4 linked regions of the Drosophila melanogaster genome follow. The protein of the gene in region 2 interacts with the protein of the main gene of each other region in a pairwise test. Each region holds a gene or a part of one and is shown on either strand. Other genes may lie near its edges.

The links.
Region 1: the proteins of CG13159 (region 2) and Mst98Cb interact in a two-hybrid assay, tested with the Drosophila melanogaster proteins (one large-scale study listed by BioGRID).
Region 3: the proteins of CG13159 (region 2) and CG15141 interact in a two-hybrid assay, tested with the Drosophila melanogaster proteins (one large-scale study listed by BioGRID).
Region 4: the proteins of CG13159 (region 2) and CG17440 interact in a two-hybrid assay, tested with the Drosophila melanogaster proteins (one large-scale study listed by BioGRID).

The regions. Positions count from the first base shown.
Region 1 is NT_033777.3:28,290,715-28,295,347, reverse strand, and holds Mst98Cb (Male-specific RNA 98Cb), read right to left. Parts: upstream 2,551-4,633; 5' UTR 2,434-2,550; coding exon 1,636-2,433; 3' UTR 1,485-1,635; downstream 1-1,484. Other genes in the region: UQCR-14L (Ubiquinol-cytochrome c reductase 14 kDa subunit-like), read right to left, coding at 879-1,214; Mst98Ca (Male-specific RNA 98Ca), read right to left, coding at 2,885-3,889.
Region 2 is NT_033778.4:12,373,177-12,377,219, reverse strand, and holds CG13159 (uncharacterized protein), read right to left. Parts: upstream 1,935-4,043; 5' UTR 1,852-1,934; coding exon 1,621-1,851; 3' UTR 1,542-1,620; downstream 1-1,541. Other genes in the region: Cpr49Aa (cuticular protein 49Aa), read right to left, coding at 1-131, 239-448, 511-522; CG13160 (uncharacterized protein), read right to left, coding at 2,179-2,346, 2,399-2,890, 2,954-3,097, 3,151-3,335, 3,392-3,572, 3,630-4,013.
Region 3 is NT_033779.5:17,408,207-17,414,854, forward strand, and holds CG15141 (uncharacterized protein), read left to right. Parts: upstream 1-2,434; 5' UTR 2,435-2,574; coding exon 2,575-3,412; intron 3,413-3,442; exon of another isoform or gene 3,443-3,479; coding exon of another isoform or gene 3,480-3,977; intron 3,978-4,033; coding exon of another isoform or gene 4,034-4,381; exon of another isoform or gene 4,382-4,427; intron 4,428-4,588; coding exon 4,589-4,965; 3' UTR 4,966-5,293; downstream 5,294-6,648. Other genes in the region: CLIP-190 (cytoplasmic linker protein 190), read left to right, coding at 1-619, 687-817, 885-1,093, 1,153-1,199; Polr2J (RNA polymerase II subunit J), read right to left, coding at 1,552-1,587, 1,650-1,824, 1,882-1,971, 2,046-2,098; Rsph9 (radial spoke head protein 9), read right to left, coding at 3,480-3,977, 4,034-4,381.
Region 4 is NC_004354.4:9,267,487-9,272,465, forward strand, and holds CG17440 (uncharacterized protein), read right to left. Parts: upstream 2,440-4,979; 5' UTR 2,309-2,439; coding exon 2,285-2,308; intron 2,225-2,284; coding exon 2,091-2,224; intron 2,029-2,090; coding exon 1,485-2,028; intron 1,419-1,484; coding exon 1,020-1,418; 3' UTR 952-1,019; downstream 1-951. Other genes in the region: Cfp1 (CXXC finger protein 1), read right to left, coding at 3,289-4,368, 4,430-4,979.

The sequences.
Region 1 (4,633 bases), on a different chromosome or scaffold from region 2:
TGATGTGGGTAGGGTAGAGATTTGATTGACAGTTACTTGAATTATTATTTGTAATTTAAGGATTGAGGAGATACTTTTACCTAAATTTTGAACAGCGTTACATACCTTCAGCCCTTAACATTACAGGGTAACCATTACGTTTGCTGCATCCTCCTGCGTTGACGTTATCAGAACTCTGGCAGTTACTGGCCGCAGACGCAGCGATATCGCTCCATGGCAGGAGCATTGCCTATCGCAGTGGCCAACATCGAAATCGAAACTATGGCAGATCAATTCGAATAACAATAATTTCTTCCGGTCGAATGGCAGCGCCAGAACAATCAGACAGCGGCAGAGATGCAGATATATACGACTGCGAAAGTATCTGCATCTGCAACGGCAATCGCAACTGCAACTGCATTGTTGCTGTTTGCTGCATTTTAAACAGGATGCGCATAAGTATACGAGGATTGACAGGATGTGCGGGCCATGCACACGCATTTTGTTTGCCGCTGACGCTGCCACGCCCACTCCTCCACTGTCATTTTAAATCGTGGGGCGGCATACACATGTTCAATGGGCGGCTCACGCCCCACCCAGCAGCACTAATTTGTATTGTATTCGCTGTTAATGAATTTCATATATTGTATTTATGCGAATGCACTTAATGCGAAAATTATTTGCGTTGACATTGCTGTGGATCGCAGGGGATTTTTAAACGGCTGACGATATTGAGAGACGCGCTTAAAAAAAGCTGGCGATAAAGTGATATTAGATGTTATGATATTAAAACCAGATAATTAAAGTTGTTTTTTTTTCTATGCCTATTTATATTAACGATTTATTTAAATAACCTTTATGTTTTGGTTATGACATTCTTTGTAACCGAAGTATCCGGATCAATGAGTTTTGCTCCATTCCTCACGCTCTTCGCGCTCCTTTTGCACTTCGTTAAGATAGGGCTCCAAGTACTTGATGTCCTCCTCGTACTTGGTCCACTGCTCCTTGGGCAGGATCGTCTTGGTCATGGAAAGGTGCAGTGCTCGAAGAATGCGATAGTTGCGTTCATCGTACAGTTTGCGGGGCAGACGACGCACTGCTTCTGCCACATCCTCATTCTCGTACAGACAGTCATCGCGATACAGGCCGTATTGGTTGAATCCAGACATGTTGTAGGCCCACTTTCCCAACTTGGAGAAAACCGCTGGGCCCACTCTAGCCACATATTTCGACATGATTTAAGATCAAGAATAATTTGGATATGACTACTACAACTATTACCAGTAAGTCCACAAGCTGACAGGTGACTCAGGGCTACACTGGTGAACTAACAAGTATGAGTTTTTAAAATAATAATAAAATAAAATAAAAATTCCCCAACAGGCCTTTCGAAACAAAAATCCCGAATCTCAACTTTCGTTATCTGAAAAATACATAGCATATTAAATGCAATGAAACAACGAAATTTCCGAAACAAATGCCCGAAGAAAAAATGTGGTTTAAATATTGTATCAATGCACTTCTTTAATTTACAAAACTTGCAAAGTTAATTTGGACTGTCATATAATTGAGCGCGGATGTGGACTTCCATAACGCGGAGTTGTCACAAAATGTTTTTGGCAGACGTCAAGTAGATCTTTCCAGCTGTTTTACAGATCAGCATGGTCCGCAAGGACCGAAGCCACAAGGGCCAGGTCCGCAGGGTCCACACGGTCCGCATGGACCACAGCCTGGTCCGAAGGGTCCGCAGGGTCCACAGGGTCCGCAAGGACCGCATCCTGGTCCCCAAGGTCCGCAGGGTCCGCAAGGTCCGCATCCGGGTCCACAGGGTCCACATGGTCCGCATCTGCCCTCAGCCACTGGGTATTGGTTTGTGGAGAAGCAGGGCAGCGGACAGCAGGGTCCTCCAGGAGCACATGGTCCAATGGGGCAGGGTGGGCACGCTGCACTGGGCTTGTAGTTGATGGGTCCATTTGGATAGCAGCAGTACTCCCTCGGCGGCGGAATGTCGATGGTTTGGGGCTTCGGCTGGCAGAGGATCGACTGACACACCTCACGTGGTTCGCAGACGCGCTTGGGATAGCACACCACATAGGGGTCGGGGATCATCGAGGGGTAGTAGATTACTCTGGGTTCTCGCACCATCTGCGACACCCAAATCAGCTTGGGCACCTTGATCACCCGCGTGGCATCAACGACCTTTGGAATGGTGATCTGCCTGCATCGGTTAACCACCATTGGCTCCGGCACAATCTTCTCCGTGAACACAACGCGTTTCTTGCAGATCATGCGTGGTGGTTGCTGCACGGTGATGCATTTGGGGAAGGGTGGTGGAATACGTGGAGCACATTGTGGCAAGGCCTCCAATTGGGCGGCATTGTAGCACTTGGGTGAGCACTCGAAGGGACCGCAGCAGGGATCGCATGGACTACAAGGACCGCACGGAGAGCACATTTTAAGTTTCGACTAGAATAAACCGAAAGAGTAAAAAGTTAATTTTTGTTTTTTGTTTCTTATAAAATTTGATCAGAGAAATTTAGAAGTGTATCGAAGCGAAACCGGATTCAAAATGCGAGCTAAGCCTGAGTAACGAACATAGGTAGATTGACAAGCAGAGGCAAGGCCTACTATTTGACAAAAATTTGGTAGAAAATTTTATCTGGATAGAAACCATTGCATAACCTGTCAAAAGAAATTGAAAAAACCTTATATATGCATAAATCCGATTTTTATTTACAGCCAATGAGTCGTCCATGCGTTGACAAAGTATAGAGAACTGTAGACTTTTTTGGTGGTGTTTGAGCAGAACGGCGAGAATACACTATGGCAATCTGTATTGGTGATAGACAAGTTGGTCCACTGGGCACCGGTTTCTGACAACAATCCAGGCAGCACAACGATGATGTTAACAGGGGCCGCTGGGTCCACAAGGCACTTGAGGACCGCAAGGACCAACTGGGCCGCAGTGGGTATTCCAGGGAGTTGGGGCGCACGGGTAGCAGGGGCCGCACTCGGGTGACTCGTACGGACACGGGGGCGAACAGGGTCCGCAGGGTCCGCAAGGACCGCAAGGACTATTGCCGAGCGGTCCACATGGCCCGCATGGAGCACAGGGTCCACACGGAGCCGGGACAAACGGACCCGACGGCATTGTGAGGCCGCAGGGCCCGCAATTGGGCACGGCGCACGGTCCACCCGGACCGCATCTCGGCCCACAGGGTCCGCACGGGCCGGGTCCGCAGGGACCACATCGCGGACCGCAGGGTCCGCATCCTGGACCGCAAGGTCCACAGGGTCCGCACCTACCCTCGGCAACGGGATACTGGTTTGTGGAGAAGCAGGGCAGCGGACAGCAGGGTCCTCCAGGAGCACATGGTCCAATGGGGCAGGGTGGGCACGCTGCACTGGGCTTGTAGTTGATGGGTCCATTTGGATAGCAGCAGTACTCCCTTGGCGGCGGAATGTCGATGGTCTGTGGCTTCGGCTGGCACAGGATCGACTGACACACCTCCCGGGGTTCGCAGACGCGCTTGGGATAGCACACCACATAGGGATCGGGGATCATCGAGGGGTAGTAGATTACTCTGGGTTCTCGCACCATCTGCGACACCCAAATCAGCTTGGGCACCTTGATCACCCGCGTGGCATCAACGACCTTTGGAATGGTAATCTGTCTGCATCGGTTAACCACCATTGGCTCCGGCACAATCTTCTCCGTGAACACCACGCGTTTCTTGCAGATCATGCGTGGTGGTTGCTGCACGGTGATGCATTTGGGGAAGGGAGGTGGAATACGTGGAGCACATTGTGGCAAGGCCTCCAATTGGGCGGCATTATAGCACTTGGGTGAGCACTCGAAGGGACCGCAGCAGGGATCGCATGGACTACAAGGACCGCACGGAGAGCACATGTTTTCGACTTAAGTTTTCCAAAATAAAATTTCTAGAAAAATATTATACTTTATTTTTGTTACAAATTTTTACTGTTCAATTTGGAAGTTATTCGGAGCGAAACAGGAAACTGAATGAGATATAACAGTAGGACGACAGCATTGCACAATAATCCAGGCCCACTTCGATCGAAATTTGAAAAACCGAGCTCTACGATCACACCCTAGTGTAGTGTTTTTGTTGTGCAGGTAAGGTGAAAATCGCTTTGAGCTTTGAATGGAAATATATGCTTACAATACATAAATCTGGTGGATTCGATTGCTTAACCGATTGCAATGAAAAATCACAGAACGCTGCTTGAATGGAATGCATTTTGCAAACCGGATTCCATCTTCACATGACGTATGCGCGACGTATCTGCATATATTTCAACAATATGGCATCTGCCGTTGAGTGGGTTTAAGCCTTTAATATGCTAGCGCCTTTATGTAGGCAGGCCGCTTTTTTCGGACCGGCCGAAAGCCAACTTGGAAAAAACCTACAACGAATTACAGAAAAACGTCGGAAAACACTCTGGCAGCGCCCGGCCTATTGAATATACATATATGGGTTTGTTTTTGCCCCAGTGCCTGGACATGTCAGCGCCGAAAAAAAAGCGTTTTGGTCGGTATGGTAGTTGGTAGTTGGATGGCATATCCTGAAAGCTTTAGTAGGTGGGGGGGGGGGGGGGTTGCTGGGTGGATGGATGGGCGTTGCAATCGGCG
Region 2 (4,043 bases):
ATTGCAGGCGGGATGGGTGGCGGCGTGGGCAGGTGGTCGCCCTGCGGCTGGAAGCCATTCTCGTCCGCCAGATAGGTTATCCGAATCGGAATGCCCTCGGGTGAGGTGTACGAGAAGGAGCCCTGTGCGACCTTTGGAGCGGTAAAAGGGCAAATGCAAGTTAGTGCTCGTTTCGTTTGGCCAACTGGTAGCCGGCAAATGCCAGGCACGACTGTGAATGGAGTTCTCCTACACCCACCTGGCCGGCATTATCGGTGCCTGGATTCTTGAGGTAGCCCTCCTCCTCGGCGTTGATGCCGTTGCCCGTCTCGTACAGATACTTGTAGGAGCCGTCGAAGTTGACCTCCTGCTCCTGTCTGATAATTGGAATGGGTTCTCCCGGCGCTTGGCCTCTCACTTGTGGTCTGGCCTGGGCCAAGCTGAGCAGCAGGGCTGCTATGAAGAGCAGCTGAAAGCACGCGGATGCGATATCAGCATGGAGTATACCCAAGTTGATCTCTTCCATCTTACTGTGTATTGCATGTCGAACCGAGCTGTATCCTGTGATCCTGGGTCCTGGTCGTCTGCTCCGAGTTCGTCTCGATCCGTTACTGTGGTCAACAGAGGCGACTCTTTGCATATTTATACCAAATCGCTTGAACTTTTGCACACAGACACTATTGCAGTTGGAGATTAAAGAGTGAACGCCTAGCATTTTGAAGACCCGCCGATCGGAAGCCTCTTTTAGGTGGCTCTTGTCGGAGGCCAATACCATCTCCCATGGAGCGCAAATGAACCGAACCGGACCGGACCGAATCGAATCGAATCCACCTACAAGTGCACGACCCATCCGATATGCTGCAATTTGTCGAATGAGTTGTCTACATGACAGCCACAGTGGGGACTCTACTTTATCATTAGAGCAAAGAAAAATATAGTTTAGTATAATATCTCACAACATTAAGTTGTTATGCTGGAAGTTATCATCAGCACAGTTGCATCTTCAATTGCTTGCTGCAATAGAAACTATCCTAGCTAGCCATCGCCCACTGTGCACCTGTATTGCGAGGGGCGTTGGAGGCACTATGATCATCTCGGATCGTGTTGAACATGACCAGCTTGACATTCATAACTCATCCTCGGCAGCGTGAGAGGAATAGGGACAGACTGCTGCATTCCTACATCAATTTGTCAGTGCAGTCATTAGACATTTGACTCAACGGCTTGATGATCATCATTGGCGGGATTATGACTGCCACCTGACCATGATCATGTCTGGCTGGCCAACTGACTTACTCACCAGCTAACTGAATGTGGCAAGTGCCGCTTGACCTTTGCGGCAGCCGAACAGATGTTTCTTGAACAGGTCCGGCCAAAAGGCGGTAATGCCTGAGCCGGGGCGTTCCGTTGCCAGTTGAGCAAATGTCAGTTACCGCCGAAGTAGAAATGGAGGTGGAGGTGGAAGTAAAGCCCCAAATGTCCCACCGCCCAATGCTACGTGAGATGGTTAACTTCGATTGCGGTATTGTGTGAGAGCAAGAGACGGCGCTTGTTTGTTTTTTGGTATTTGGTGTTTTTATTTGGCTATTCAGGTGATGAGGATCGTATCAAGTGGCAGCATCGTGGATCGGATGGGCGGCTCTATCCGGACTTCTTGTTGAACAGCAGGGACAGGAGCTGTTGCTTGATTGGCTTAGTGGTGGTGGTGTCCGTGGTGTAGGTGTAGGTGGGGTAGGTCGGGGTGGTAGTATAGGTGTACGTCGTCGTCGTGGGCGAAGAGGGCGTTGTGGGAGTGCTGGTTGTAGTTGCGGTAGATGCCATTGCGATGGCCAGGACAGCGGAGAAACAGACGAGGACAGCGAAGAACTTCATGTTGATTGGATTTTTTGGGCTTTTAGGATTGCTGGCTGGCTGTTGCTTATCGACGGACGAGCTGCTGAACTCTGAGTGTGTCTTTCGCTGGTCCAGGCCTCACTATTTATACCCATATTTTGACTGCGGCAGTCGTAGTATTCCCTGTAATGTTTGCACAAATGGTTCCTTTACCGTTTGCTACATTGCTAGCTTTCCCCCACCAATGTTTACCGACCAACTCATTGTGAAATGCATCCAATGTTTGATCCCCTTCCATTTTCCGAAAAATAAAAGTTTTTCGGGTTGGGAGTGTCAATGACTTGGTATTCTTATTAGCTAACTATCCTAGAATATATGCCGTTCGTAGCTACTGGGCCACTCCATCGAGAAGGCAAAGTCCGGAAGTGTGGCAAGGAACTCCAGGCTCAACGCATCCCGCTTATCATGTGGACTGACATAGTGTCCAGAGACGCCCATCTCAAAGACGGGTTCATTGAAGTTGCCATCGTCCTTCTAAGAATCAGTTAGTTAGTATAGTTATCAGAACGACCCATTAAATACGCACAGAAAGTTCCACGAAGAATTCGATGGGAGTGTTATCAATACCGTAGGTTAACATGACCTCCAGAGGAGGCCTGTAAGTGGCCGGATTATCCAGCATTGCGGGAGCAAACGTCCATCGGAGTAGTTTTACACCATCCAGTGGCTTGAAGAACAGACCCATATTTGGCGGACCAGTTAGCCGGAACTCATAGCGCACCTGATAGCCACCGGACAGAACTGTCTTGCTAAGGAACTCCAAGACCGTTGGATAAGGCAGTTCCACGGGCTCCTCTCGAGCAAGCCAAAGTGCATGCTCCCGGGCACTACAATATCGGTAGCAGGGAATACCGCACATCAGCTCGGAGTCGCAATCCTCGCCCAGGCGTACCAGGTTGGTCAGGTTCATGTGATCGCGCAGAGGTGCCTCTTTGTTTCGATCCCCCAGATGGAAGTAGTAGCCAGAATCCTCGTGGCTGATGGAACCATTGTACTCGAAAAATTTGCGATGCACTTGCTGCTCCGACAAAGAATAGAACTTAGTCGTCTTTCAAAGGATGCTTATTAGTGTTTCCCTTACCATGAAGTCGGCACGCATGACATTTGTTTTGGGCCGATACGGGAATCCGACATCCGAGACGGCAATCATGCAGAAAATAAACATAACCAGTGCCAGACCACCCAGCATGCAGTTCGGTCGCCGAAAGACATTGATTAAAGGAGCCTAAGTGAAACTGATTAAGTAAAGTAGTCAATAAATGTGAATAACTTTCTTACAGCAAAAGATAACGCCAAAATTGTGCCAAAACCACATAGAGCGCCGATTAGTATATCCGGATTGGTGGAGACGCCAAAGCGACCAGTCATCGGAATGAGAATAAGTATGAACATGTGGAACAAGTAGGCGTGGTAAATGAAGGGTATAATCTGGAAAACAATCAGCACCAGTGACCACAGATAACCTAAAGTGTTGGCATGAATCATTAAAAGTTCTCCACGAATATATAAGCTAACTTACCGCGACAATGGAGACGGGTCAGTAGGTTAATGATCAGAGCAGCAACGTAGAAAATGAGAGAGATCAGAAATAGATAGGCACTACGGTATTTAAGAGCCGTTGCACCCAAACACAAGATGGCCAAAAGGACACAGTTCGCGTGACCCACAATATGCAAGTAATAAGTATGGGGGATCTTGTTCTGCAGAGGATAGCTTAGTATAACAAAATAACTTCGTTAACAAGTGATACTACTTACACACTTCGTATGCGTCAAGTAGAGGGTCATGGGCAGTACAAGGCCAATAACCGATGGACAAATGTACAACCCAATGACCAGCCAACTGTTGCTAAAATAGGTCAACGTTCTATTTCCCCAATCATAAAAGGTGGCCATCAGCAGAGGAAAGGCCACGGCGAGGAGAGCACCAGCTAGGGCTAGCAGGAATAGGAGTCCAAAGACGCCGGCATAGGTGCCCATAGTCTGTCCAGTAACCCGGGACATTCGCCACAACGAGATGCAGACCAGCAAAATGGCACCGAACGAGAAGAAGAGATTCAGGGCCAAGCTAGTCGACTCCTGGTAATGGACAAAGAACAGTCCAATAAAGTCGAAGAATACTGCATGTCCCGCCGCGTGTGCCTGTTGAAAGATTACCATGAAAAATGGACA
Region 3 (6,648 bases), on a different chromosome or scaffold from region 2:
AGAAAACGAGGGAAATCTGCAAGGAGAATCTTTGGCAGTCACTGAGAAACTACAACAACTGGAGCAAGCAAATGGGGAGCTTAAGGAGGCTCTGTGTCAAAAAGAGAATGGCCTTAAAGAACTTCAGGGCAAACTTGATGAAAGTAATACTGTATTAGAAAGTCAAAAGAAGAGCCACAACGAAATTCAGGATAAGTTAGAACAGGCCCAGCAAAAGGAGAGGACTCTTCAAGAGGAAACATCCAAGTTGGCGGAGCAACTGAGCCAATTAAAGCAGGCTAATGAAGAGCTCCAGAAATCCCTTCAGCAAAAGCAGTTACTTTTGGAAAAGGGTAATGAATTCGACACCCAGCTGGCAGAATATCAGAAAGTCATTGATGAGATGGATGATGCGGCTTCCGTTAAATCCGCGCTGCTGGAACAGCTACAAAATAGAGTTGCGGAACTGGAGACCGCACTCCGTCAAGCCAACGATGCCCAAAAGACTGCTTATCTGGAGACTAAGGAACTGAGGCGCCAGCTGGAATCGCTGGAACTGGAGAAGTCGAGGGAGGTTCTGAGCCTAAAGGCTCAGATGAATGGTGCGAGCAGTAGGTCCGGAAAGGGTGATGAAGTGGAGGTGGGTTTCTTTTTTTTAAGCTAATATTTTATATATTTTGCAAACAATGGGCCTTGTCAATTTCCAGTCACTGGACATCGAAACCAGTCTTGCCAAGATTAACTTCCTGAACTCAATTATTGCTGACATGCAGCAGAAGAATGATGCACTCAAGGCAAAGGTGCAGACCCTTGAAACCTTGCCAATGGATTTCACCAAGTGAGTTAAATTCTTTTTCATCTCGGTCGAAGCATTTTCGTTCATAAATGTATATAATATATTTAAGACCTCATGCCTTCGATGCCCTGACAAAGCGGAAACCGGCTCCCAGACTTTTCTGCGACATCTGCGATGAGTTTGATCAGCACGATACGGAGGATTGTCCAATCCAGGGAAGCGAAGATCAAGACTACTCCACACCGTCATCCGAGTCCAACAACAACGAGAAGGAGCGGAAGCTGCCGGCACCCAGGAAATACTGTGATTCCTGCGAGGGTGAGTAAAATAAAATATCAAATTTTACTGACATTTAACAATGTTTTTCCCAATTACAGTTTTTGGCCACGATACGAGCGAATGTGCCGATGATGAAACCTATTAGTTAGCTCTAGTTAAATTCTATTATTTCCATTTTACTTTGTTTTAGACTCTATAGCATAACCATATTGCGAGATCTATCAGATGAGATACTTTTACCTCAGCAGAGCTTCACTCAATCACACAAAGAAATTTCTCTACTTAAAATTGTGATCTTGCGTTATGCACACATCCATGGATAGTAGTCTATTTTAAATTGTTTTTATTTATTGAATGCGATTCGTGGCAAACACACAATCGGTTGTTTTCGTAATTTTTGAGTGTAAACATAGTGTAAAAAATAAAATCAAGAACGTGGAAGAAGAAGCTTTTATTGGGTTTTCATAAGACTAAGGAATTAATTGGTAATTATATGATTAATCGCCGCCCTCCTTCTTCTCCTTGATGGCGTCCTGAAATCAGAGAAACATGGATATTAAAGAAATGTTTCGAGGACGTTTTGTGCAGGTAATACTTTGAAACGCTCTTCGAAGAGAGATAATTCTGCTAGAAGATCGGTTATGGCGTTCATGAATGCTTCCTGCGGAGAATAATCGGCCGTAGTCTGGATGCGGATGACGAACTTGTGCTCCAGAGGATGCGGAACCTTGTAGCCGGCAAACAGAACATTGGGATCCTTCAGCAGTTGGCTGCAGGCAAGAATGCAAATTTAATGTGTAATCAGACGGGCTTGTTGGCCAACATACTTGCGGATCATGTTGCCCAGCGTGTGATCCTCTTTGTTTATGGTGAATATAGCCGCATTGGTCACTTTGGTGTCCAGTTCCTTGATGATTCTGCAGCCGCGCCATAACAAACATAAAAACGGGTTAAAGGTGGTCATTCGGAGTAGTCTGTTTTCTTTACTCACTTTTTCTCGCCTTCATAGAGCAGAAATGACTCAAAGGTAGGTGGTGCGTTCATTTTGATGTCTTACTTTTCGTTAGTTACTGCAAAACTTATAAATTGTTTATTAAAATCAGCAGCACGCTCAGCAAAATTCTCCGGTACAGTGTTGACTAACGCCCAAGTGCAACACAAGCTAAAGTAGCTATATCTAGCAAAAAGTAGCTAGAACGCCTAGCTAATTTATTTTAGTATTTTATAAATCATTTTTAATGTGAGCATCTATTAAATAAAATAAAACTTGTACTTTGAATTTGAAAATAATTTAATTTGCTTATGTTTTTTGGTCATTAAATAAATAGCTTAATCACTTCTTGCAACCAACACTGGCAGCCGATACCTATCGCATAGACAAGCTGTTGTGGGCCATCCCTAGGTTTCGGTGGTTGAATTATTTGCAAATTTTTATCCAATCGCGCCAAACGCTGCGCATTCCGCCACTTTCGAGAAACTGACACGAAGCCAAGCTAAAAATACATTATTAAACAGCTGACATGAGCGAGTCGAATGCCACAGATGGTGTCCACGAGGTTGAGGAGTCCAATCCGCTGGAGCAGTCGACCATTACGATGCTAGATGTCCTGGAACAGGAAAAGGAGCTGGAGGACGAGTACGCCGCAGTGCTGGGCGCCTCCGATGAGAAGTCGTGCACTTACGCCAAGGGCCCCATCGGCCGACAGGCTCTGTACTCGTGCCTCACTTGTTGCCCCGAGGCGCGCGAGGATCTGGACAAGGCCGCAGGAGTCTGCTTGGCCTGCTCCTATCGCTGTCACGAGCACCACGAACTGGTGGAGCTCTATACTAAGCGGAATTTCCGCTGCGATTGTCCCACCCAGCGTCTGGGCAAGTGCTCCCTGAACCCACAAGTCGAGGGCGTTCAACCACGTAACGTGGGCAATCTGTATAACCAGAACTTCCAGGGGCTGTACTGCAAGTGCAAGCGACCCTATCCCGATCCCGATCGCACCGTTGAGGAGGTTATGCTGCAGTGCGCCATCTGCGAGGACTGGTTCCACTTGCCGCACATGAAAGCGCCCGGCGCCAGCGACAAGTGGCTGGATGTCTGCAGCGAAATGATTTGCGATGGCTGCATGGATGCCAAACCCTTCCTAAAGGACTACACTGGATTAGCCCTGCAGCCTGTGCTAGAAGATGCGAAGGAGGACAAGCCGGAGGCTGACGATAGCCAGCTGAAGAACGAGTTGGACCGCAGCATCTGCGATATCATGAAAGTTCCTGAAGGTGAATCTCAGCCAGACGAAGGCGAACCCAGCCAGAAGCGCGCCAAACTGGACGATTGTCGTCGGCCCAAACCAACCAAGGAGCATCAGGGTGAGTAAATTAATATAGATATACATGCGTATGCTCAAAAAAAAAACATATTTATGCAAAAGCAACCTTAATACATGAAAAGCAAGTCAAAGTTCTTCTTGCCATCGCCCAAGTAAAGGAAACCATGCTTGTGGGAGTTGATTTTGTGAAAGAATGTCATGCCCAACCAAAGGCACGACTTGATTATTACCAAACCCTCGTTCCGTTGCATATTCAGGGCAAAAGCCTGACACAGTGGTATTACGCAGTCAATGGTGTCCAGAAAGTCAATAGCATAGTTATAGTCGCTCCTCTTGGCCAAATTGACTTTGAGATCATTGCGGGGCAGGCGATAGAGCTGGTAATATGATTGGTTGTCGATCTGCAAGTCATTCAGTCCACGAAACATCTGGTTGGGTATAACACGACCATCGGTCATCTTGTAAAAGGCTCCGCGTGGGCAAATGGCACACTCCTCTGTTATAATAAACACAATGGCTGCCAGCCGTTCCTCCTCCTTAAGCTTGACCACTTCAGGGCGGCTGATACCAGCCACCTGATTGCCTACGATGTCAAAAGTGGGGTCCTGTGTGCGTACAATATCAGAAAAACCACCACCACATTTACGTACTATCAACTCACCAGCTTAACGTAGGTCATCAGGCTGGGATCTCCTATAAATGGCTCCCTTGCCAATATAGTCGCCTGAAATATCTTGGGGCTCTGTACGAACGGCAGCAACTGCCATTGGAACTGGTCCAGACTGTAGAAATACTTGCGATCCTTGAGACAGTCATTAGTGTAGCCAAAGGCAATGTAGTAATCGTTCTTGGTGGCCGTAATGCGACCCCAAAGATACATGCCCGTAAAACGATTGTCATTTTGTAAAGCGATCAGCGAGTTTTCAATCAAGATGCGCTGCTCCGGCGACAGCTTCATGCCGCAGTACATTAGGCAGTCGAGGCCCTCGGTGAAGAACTCCAAATTCATGACGAAAGTATCTTAGCAATTTATATGTGAAGTGTTGAAATAAAATATGGATTTAAGTGCTGAGAGTATTTGAAAGAAAACTCAGAACCGTAAAAAAAAATATGTTAGCGGAATGGATTTTTAATTACATGGCATGCATAAATCAGCACAAACTCTTTGAACTGCCAATTTCCCCCATTTATTCATCTCTACCCTTTCTCTTTCAAGGAGCTGCTTTCTGGACAAATGACTGGCGAAAATCACTCTGTCAGTGCTCCGAATGCCTGTCGCTTTACAAGGAACTTGCCGTGGAGTTTCTGCTGGATGTCGAGGATTCGGCTAAGACGTACGAGGAGCGCGGCATGAAGCGGGCTGAAGAGAATTCCAGTTATGAGCAAGGAATCCGGGCACTGGCCTCCATTGACCGGACACAGCAAATCGATGCGATTACCGAATACAATCGCATGAAGGACAAGCTAAAGGAATACCTGCAGGCATTCGCCGCCAGCAAGAAGGTAGTGACCGAGGAGGATATCAATCGGTTCTTTGCCGGCATGCGCAATGAGAACAATGCCAACCTGGGTCAGCCCTATTTCTGTCGCTAAACAGTTAGCACTCTATATTACTCTAGTATTACCCACATTCCCCCATGAAAGCGAAACATACATACATACATCATGTAAATTCTAAAGTTATATTTTATTTAAACAATAATCATTTTCAATTCACTTTTGTCAATAACGAAAAGTCGTAACAAGGCATCGGGCAATGAGATTCGCATTTCCCTCATTAAATTTATGTACATTGCGGTAAAATAGAATTATATAAGACAGGTTTTGTGTTGAAGTTCATTTTGGATTGAGACCTTTTTACATGTAGCTCTAATTGGTTAATTTCCGATATATTTTATGAAATATATGTACACTAGTATTTAGCAAAGTTTGTTGTTCATTTGAATGGCTGAATTCCCAAGCTATTGAGTTCTGCCTCAATGTCCTGGATAAGTTCGCTGGTGTCAATGGGCGCCATGCCTATGCTGCTGGAAATTAGATCACTAAACGATTGGGTGGGTTCATCTGCTGGAGGTTGCTGCTCCTGTGGCTGCTGTTGCTGTTGGTACTGCGACTGTTCTGGATGGGATTGGGCCAGATATGGAATGGACTCTGGCTGCAATTGCGGCAGGAACTGCTGAGTCTGTTGATATACCTGTTTAATGCCAAAATTTCCTTGTGGCGGTATGCTTATGGCACTCATTTTCTGACTTAAAAAGTCATTGTTATTGTTATTAATTAGTACATTGTTGTTATTATTGATTGGTGTCATAGAGCCACCACTGAAATGGGTAGGACTACAGCCGTTTACCGGAAAGTTTGAATTCTCCGGCAGATACATATGGTTATTCCTCTGTCCGATTTGAAACGGCGGAATGCTATCCACTGTACTGCAATTGGACGAAGGCGATGCGAAATTCCCATTAAATGTGAAGTTTGTGGCATCTGGCAAATAAAGATGAGTTTGATTTTGCCCCATTTGCATCGGCGGAATACTATCCACTGTACTGCAGTTGGATCGAGGCGAAGCGAAATTGCGTTCCACTGATGGACACTGGCTACTCTGGCTATCCACATCCATGAATCCATTCTCCATCTTGATATCCTGCACAAAATTGGGACTTCCGCCGGGAAACATCAAAGGCATACCAGGCGACACCTGTGTCTGCGGTGTTGTGGTCGCAATTTGTGGCTTGGAAAATATCGTATACTGGCCTAGAAAATAAATAAAAAGTTGTTAGCCTTGTGTTTCCAGTATTAACGAGAAAAGCGTTTCAAAACTTAAAATGCTTTTATTAAGATAAGCATAATTAAGATAAAACTCAGGTAAAACTAAAGCAATTTGCGAGAACTCAAAAGGGACAACAGCAGCAAGCCACAACATCAACCTGCCTTGGCAGTATCAACTTACATTATTTGATGTCCAACTTTGGTGGCAAAAATGGAGTTTGATGGAAACTAGACAAAAATTGGAAGGGTAGACACATTTTCGGTTGTCCGAATACTTAAAGATACCCTTGCCATTCAAACCTTTTGCTTATTTTAATAAACTTTTTTAGAGATTGGTGATCTAATAACTTTTAATTAATAAGATGAAAAATTGAAGTCGCAGCAAAAGTTTTTTAAAGTTTAAATAGTACGTATAAAATAATATAAATATTATTAAATATAATTTATTGTTAACGGACGAATATAATCGCTAGTTAAACATTTAACTATAACATTATTTTTTGATTT
Region 4 (4,979 bases), on a different chromosome or scaffold from region 2:
CGGAGGAGGACGAGTCCATATGGCGGCGGATGTTGGCCTGGTATCTCCCGGCACTCCGGCGTTCACGCTTCCGTTACGATTTTACAAAATAAAAGATTCGGAATCGAATAGAAAAAACGAGTGTACGTTCCTGGCTTGGAATCAGAAGGTCGTGTGTGATGTAGAAAAGTTCCGGACAACAACTGGCATTGTCGACAGTTCGTCTGGGGCAACAGTCACAAATCGCCTCGACTACTTGATTGCCCGGGTAGCCGGATTCGTTCAGACTCGCTTGAAATTTCGACTTCACTTGTGTGACCTGTGTGTCCTGACATCCCTTTTGGTGTCTTGCACCCAACTACAGCATGCCCACTCTACTCCATAGTTTTCCATCGTTTTCAAAGTCCTGCCGTTTCCAATGGTTGCCCCCCGCTCTTCATTTACCCGGAACCATTGTTTTGGATATTTACACCCGGACTCGGTGGCCTATTCCTATATGATCTTCAAAATATGTTGAGCGTAGAGTATTCCTTTTTTCATGACTTTGTTTAATGCATTAATATTAACCTATCTGAATGTATTACTTTATCTTTACCTTTAGTTAAAAAAAAAGCCAACAATGAAACCTAACAATGAACAGAAAACAAATCGTATATAGAAATTATAAATAACTTGAATCAAGCTAATAACCTAATAAAACTAAGGTGTGTGCTGATGTAATCCATGTGAATGATATCCACGGTAGAGCTAACCCAATGTATCCAACCCCTTTACGTGCAGGTTGCTATCAATAAATGCATATTTGATGCTTAGTTTTCAATAACAAACATGGGCGTACCGCCGATCCCGGCGCGTAGCAACCTACTTCTGGCCGGGAAGCGGACACAACAGCTGGCGAGCGTGTTATGCGGTTGCCAGGAGAAAGGCGCCACTAGAAACTTTGCGTCGGGTAAGTCCAAAGATTACTGGATTGTCGTAGAAAAATATTTCTTGGACATCAGTTTATTGTTATTTCTTGCTATGATTAGGGGATTACAAATCTATGGATTTTCCGGTTTATGCTGTTGTTGCTGCAACAGCTGTCGCTGCTGCTGCAACAGCTGCATTTGCAGTTGCAGTTGCTGAACATGATGTGGCTTCAAGTGCAGTTGCTGCAGCAACTGTTGTTGCTCCTGCTCCTGCTGTTGTTGCAACTCCTGCTGTTGTTGTAACTCCTGCTGTTGTTGCTGCTGCTGCGGTTGTTGCTGCAACATTAGCTTTTGCTTCTCTTGGTACTGTTTCTGCTGAGTCTGTATCTGTTGCCTCTGCTTCTCGAACTCCTCCAGTTGCTCCTGCTGTTTGAGCACCAGCTCGTCCATGTTGAGCTCTAGATGCTTGCGTGTTTCCTCGGCGGCGCGGCTAGGCGTAATATTCCACTCTTGCATTTGTTGCGGCAGAATCTGAGAGTGTAAAGGACTTTGGTGTTTAATTGGAGTCTTATAGTCTGGCCAAAAAATGAAACTAACCTGAAATAGGCGTTCGATGGCTAGATTAGAGCCACACTCATCGCTGCAGTACTTGCTCTGCGGCCTCGCATGGGAGCAGCAATTGGGTCCGTGGCACTGCTGGATGCCCTGTAGCTCCGGATTGAGGAATATCTCCGGACTGACCGCCCGCGGGCTCACCTGGACATTGGAAGTCTTGGGTGCCGCCTTATCCCGCTTCGTACCTGCTTGAGTCGGCTGCGACTCCTTTGGTTCTTGGGCGCTGCTGTTTTTGCGCTTCGCTGCCGCAGTGGTCGGTGGCGGCGCTTGCTGGCTGGTTGTTGCGGGCGCCACCGGTGCAGCAGCAGGCGCAGCTCCCGATGGACCTACGCCCGGGGCATTGAGACTTGTAGAGGCGGCGTTCGATGCGGCTGCACGTTCGGTGGCCACCAGGCGGAATATAGTCTGCAGTTCGGGATTCTCTTTTTTGCAGCGCCGGCAGTAGTAATTTTTGATGTGCTCAGCGTCCTTCTCGGTGATCTCTATACAGTCGCCGTGGTACCACTCCTCGCAACCATCGCAGCCTCTGGAAAGCGTAGTTGACAAGTGGTTAGGCGGGATCTAGCCCTTTAAGGCCATTCAACTCACATCATGAACCTGGAGCAGTCGGAGGAGCGGCATATGCAGTACTCACGGTCTTTCTGCTTAAGAATGGTGGCTATCTTGGACTTGCGCTCAGGCAAATCAAATTCCCGTGCGATCTCCCGCCTGATTTCTTCTTCCTGTTTGGAAATCTCCTTTGTAGCTAAAAATATGATTGCTGTGCAGCGTGTGAAACTCACGGTCTTCTTATCATTGTCCGTCATCTCGCACCAATCTTTCTGACAACTAAAGTCCAATTCCAAATCCGTCAATTAAGTTTCAGGGAATTTTTCTTTTTGCGATGGAGATTGTAAATGAACTGTATTCCTGGCTTTGAATCAGCAGGTCGTGTGTGATGTAGAAAAGTTCCGGACAACGACTGGCATTTTTGACAGTTCGTCTGGGGGAACAGTCACAAATCGCCACGACTACTTGATTGCCCGGGTAGCCGGATTCGTTCAGACTCGCTTGAAATTTCCACTGCACTTGTGCGTCCTGACATTCCTTTTGGCTCCCAACTACAGCATGCCCACTCTAATCCATAGCCTCCATCGTTTTCAAGGTCCTGCCGTTTCCAATGGTTGCCCCCCGCTCTTCATTTACCCGGAACCATTGTTTCGGATATCAAAACCCGGACTCGGTGGCCTATGTCTATATGATCTTCAAAATATGTTGAGCGTAGAGTATTCTTTTTTTCATGACTTTGTTTAATGCAGTAATATTAACCTGCATTATTAAAAAAAGCCTACAGCTTAAGAAAATGTATTTAATATGCTAACTTATTTTCTAGATTATTTCTAAATACAAACTAACAATGAACAGAAAACAAATCGTATATAGAAATTATAAATAACTTGAATCCAGCTAATAAACTAATATTAAGGTGTGTGCTAATGTAATCCATGTGAATGATATCCACGGTTGAGCTGGCCTAATGTATTAATAGCATGTTGCTATCAATAAATGCATATTTGATGCTTAGTTTTCAATAACAAACATGGGCGTACCGCCGATCCCGGCGCGTAGCAACCTACTACTGGCCGGGAAGCGGACCCAACAGCTGGCGAGCGTGTTATGCGGTTGCCAGGAGAAAGGCGACACTAGAAACTTTGCGTCGGGTAAGTCCAAAGATTACTGTCGTAGAAAAATATTTCTTGGACGTCAGTTTATTGTTAGTTCTTGCTATGATTAGGGGACTACAAATCTATGTTTTTTTCTGCAGGTATATAATTTGAGTTTTCTGTGGTATTTGGGCCTTCTTTTGCTGCTGCTGCAACAGTTGAAGTTGAAGTTGCTGCAGATGATGTGGCTTCAATTGCAGTTGCTGTTGCTCCTGCTGTTGTTGCTGCTGCTGTTGTTGCTGCTGCTGTGGTTGTTGCAGCTGCTGCTGTTGTTGCTGCTGTTGTTGTTGCTGCTGCTGTTGTTGCTGTTGCTGTTGTTGCTGCAACATTAGCTTCTGCTTTTCCTGGTACTGTTTCTGCTGTGTTTGTATTTGTTGCTGGTGAGCCAGGCGTCGCCTCTGCTTCTCGAACTCTACCAGATGCTCCTGCTGTTTGCGCACCAGCTCGTCCATCACCTCGTGGTTGTAGGTGGAGTGCAGCATCAGGCCGAGCAGGTTCGCTCGCGAGGTGAGCTGCTGCCGCATCACGCGCTCCTGCTCCATCAGGTCGTCCATCTTGAGCCATTGACGCACACGCTCCAGATCTATCTCAGCACGCCGGATCTTCTCCCAGGCGTAGTGCTTGAAGCAATTCTTCTTTGGCGCACGACAAAACTCGCCCGTGGGATTGAAGACGTTGTTCACTAAGGGCGAACCACACACATCCGTATCGTTCACCTTCGGATCCTTGCTGTGCTCCGGACACAATACTCTCAATCGCTTACAGTAAGTCTTACTTGCCGGATTGTAGAAATCACAAAACATATTGTTTCCCTCCATTCGCGTTTTGAATATGCTCCCGAAGCTGGCCTGCGATTCGTATTTGTTGAAGCACTTCTCCATATGCTTGATGGCAGTGCGCGAGTGAATCTCGTGGCCACAGGTGATGCAGTACATGCTCTGTTCGTCCTCCATGTCGGCGGTGTCTTGTGACCCCAATGTATCAATGGAGCTTCGTTTGGCTCGCTCCACCACCATGTTGAGCTCTTCGGAGCGCTTCTCTAGCTCGGCAAGTGCGAAACGCACCAGGGACTGCTTATGACGAATGTTATCAAGATGCTTGCGTGTTTCCTCGGCGGCGCGGCTGGGCGTTAGATTCCACTCTTGCAGTCGTTGCGGCAGAACCTGAGAGTGTAAAGGACTTTGGTGTTTAATTGTCATAGTCTGGCCAAAAAATGAAACTAACCTGGAAGATGCGTTTTGTGGCCAGATTGAAGCCACACTTATCGCTGCAGTACTTGCTCTGCGGTCTCGCATGGGAGCAGCAATTGGGTCCGTAGCACTGCCGGATGCCTTGTAGCTCCGGATTGAGGAATATCTCCGGACTGGCCGCCCGCGGGCCCACTTGGACATTGCGACTCTTGGGTGCCGCCTTTTCCCGCTTCCTACTTGGGCCGGCTTGAGTTGCCTGCGACTCCTTTAAGACCGTCGCCGCCTGGACAACGCAGGTGCGGAATATGCAGCGCGGCTTGTGGCCCACGCGAACGCGGCACGCGTCGCACTGGTTGCAATTGGGACGCCGGCATCCCTCACAGGTACCACAACGTTTGCCCATCTTTGGTTCTCGGGCGCTGCTGTTTTTGCGCTTCGCTGCCGCAGTGGTCGGTGGCGGCGCTTGCTGGCTGGTTGTTGCGGACGCCACCGGTGCAGCAGCAGGCGCAGCTCCCGATGGACCTACGCCCGGGGCATTGAGACTTGTAGAGGCGGCGTTCGATGCGGCTGCCCGTTCGGTGGCC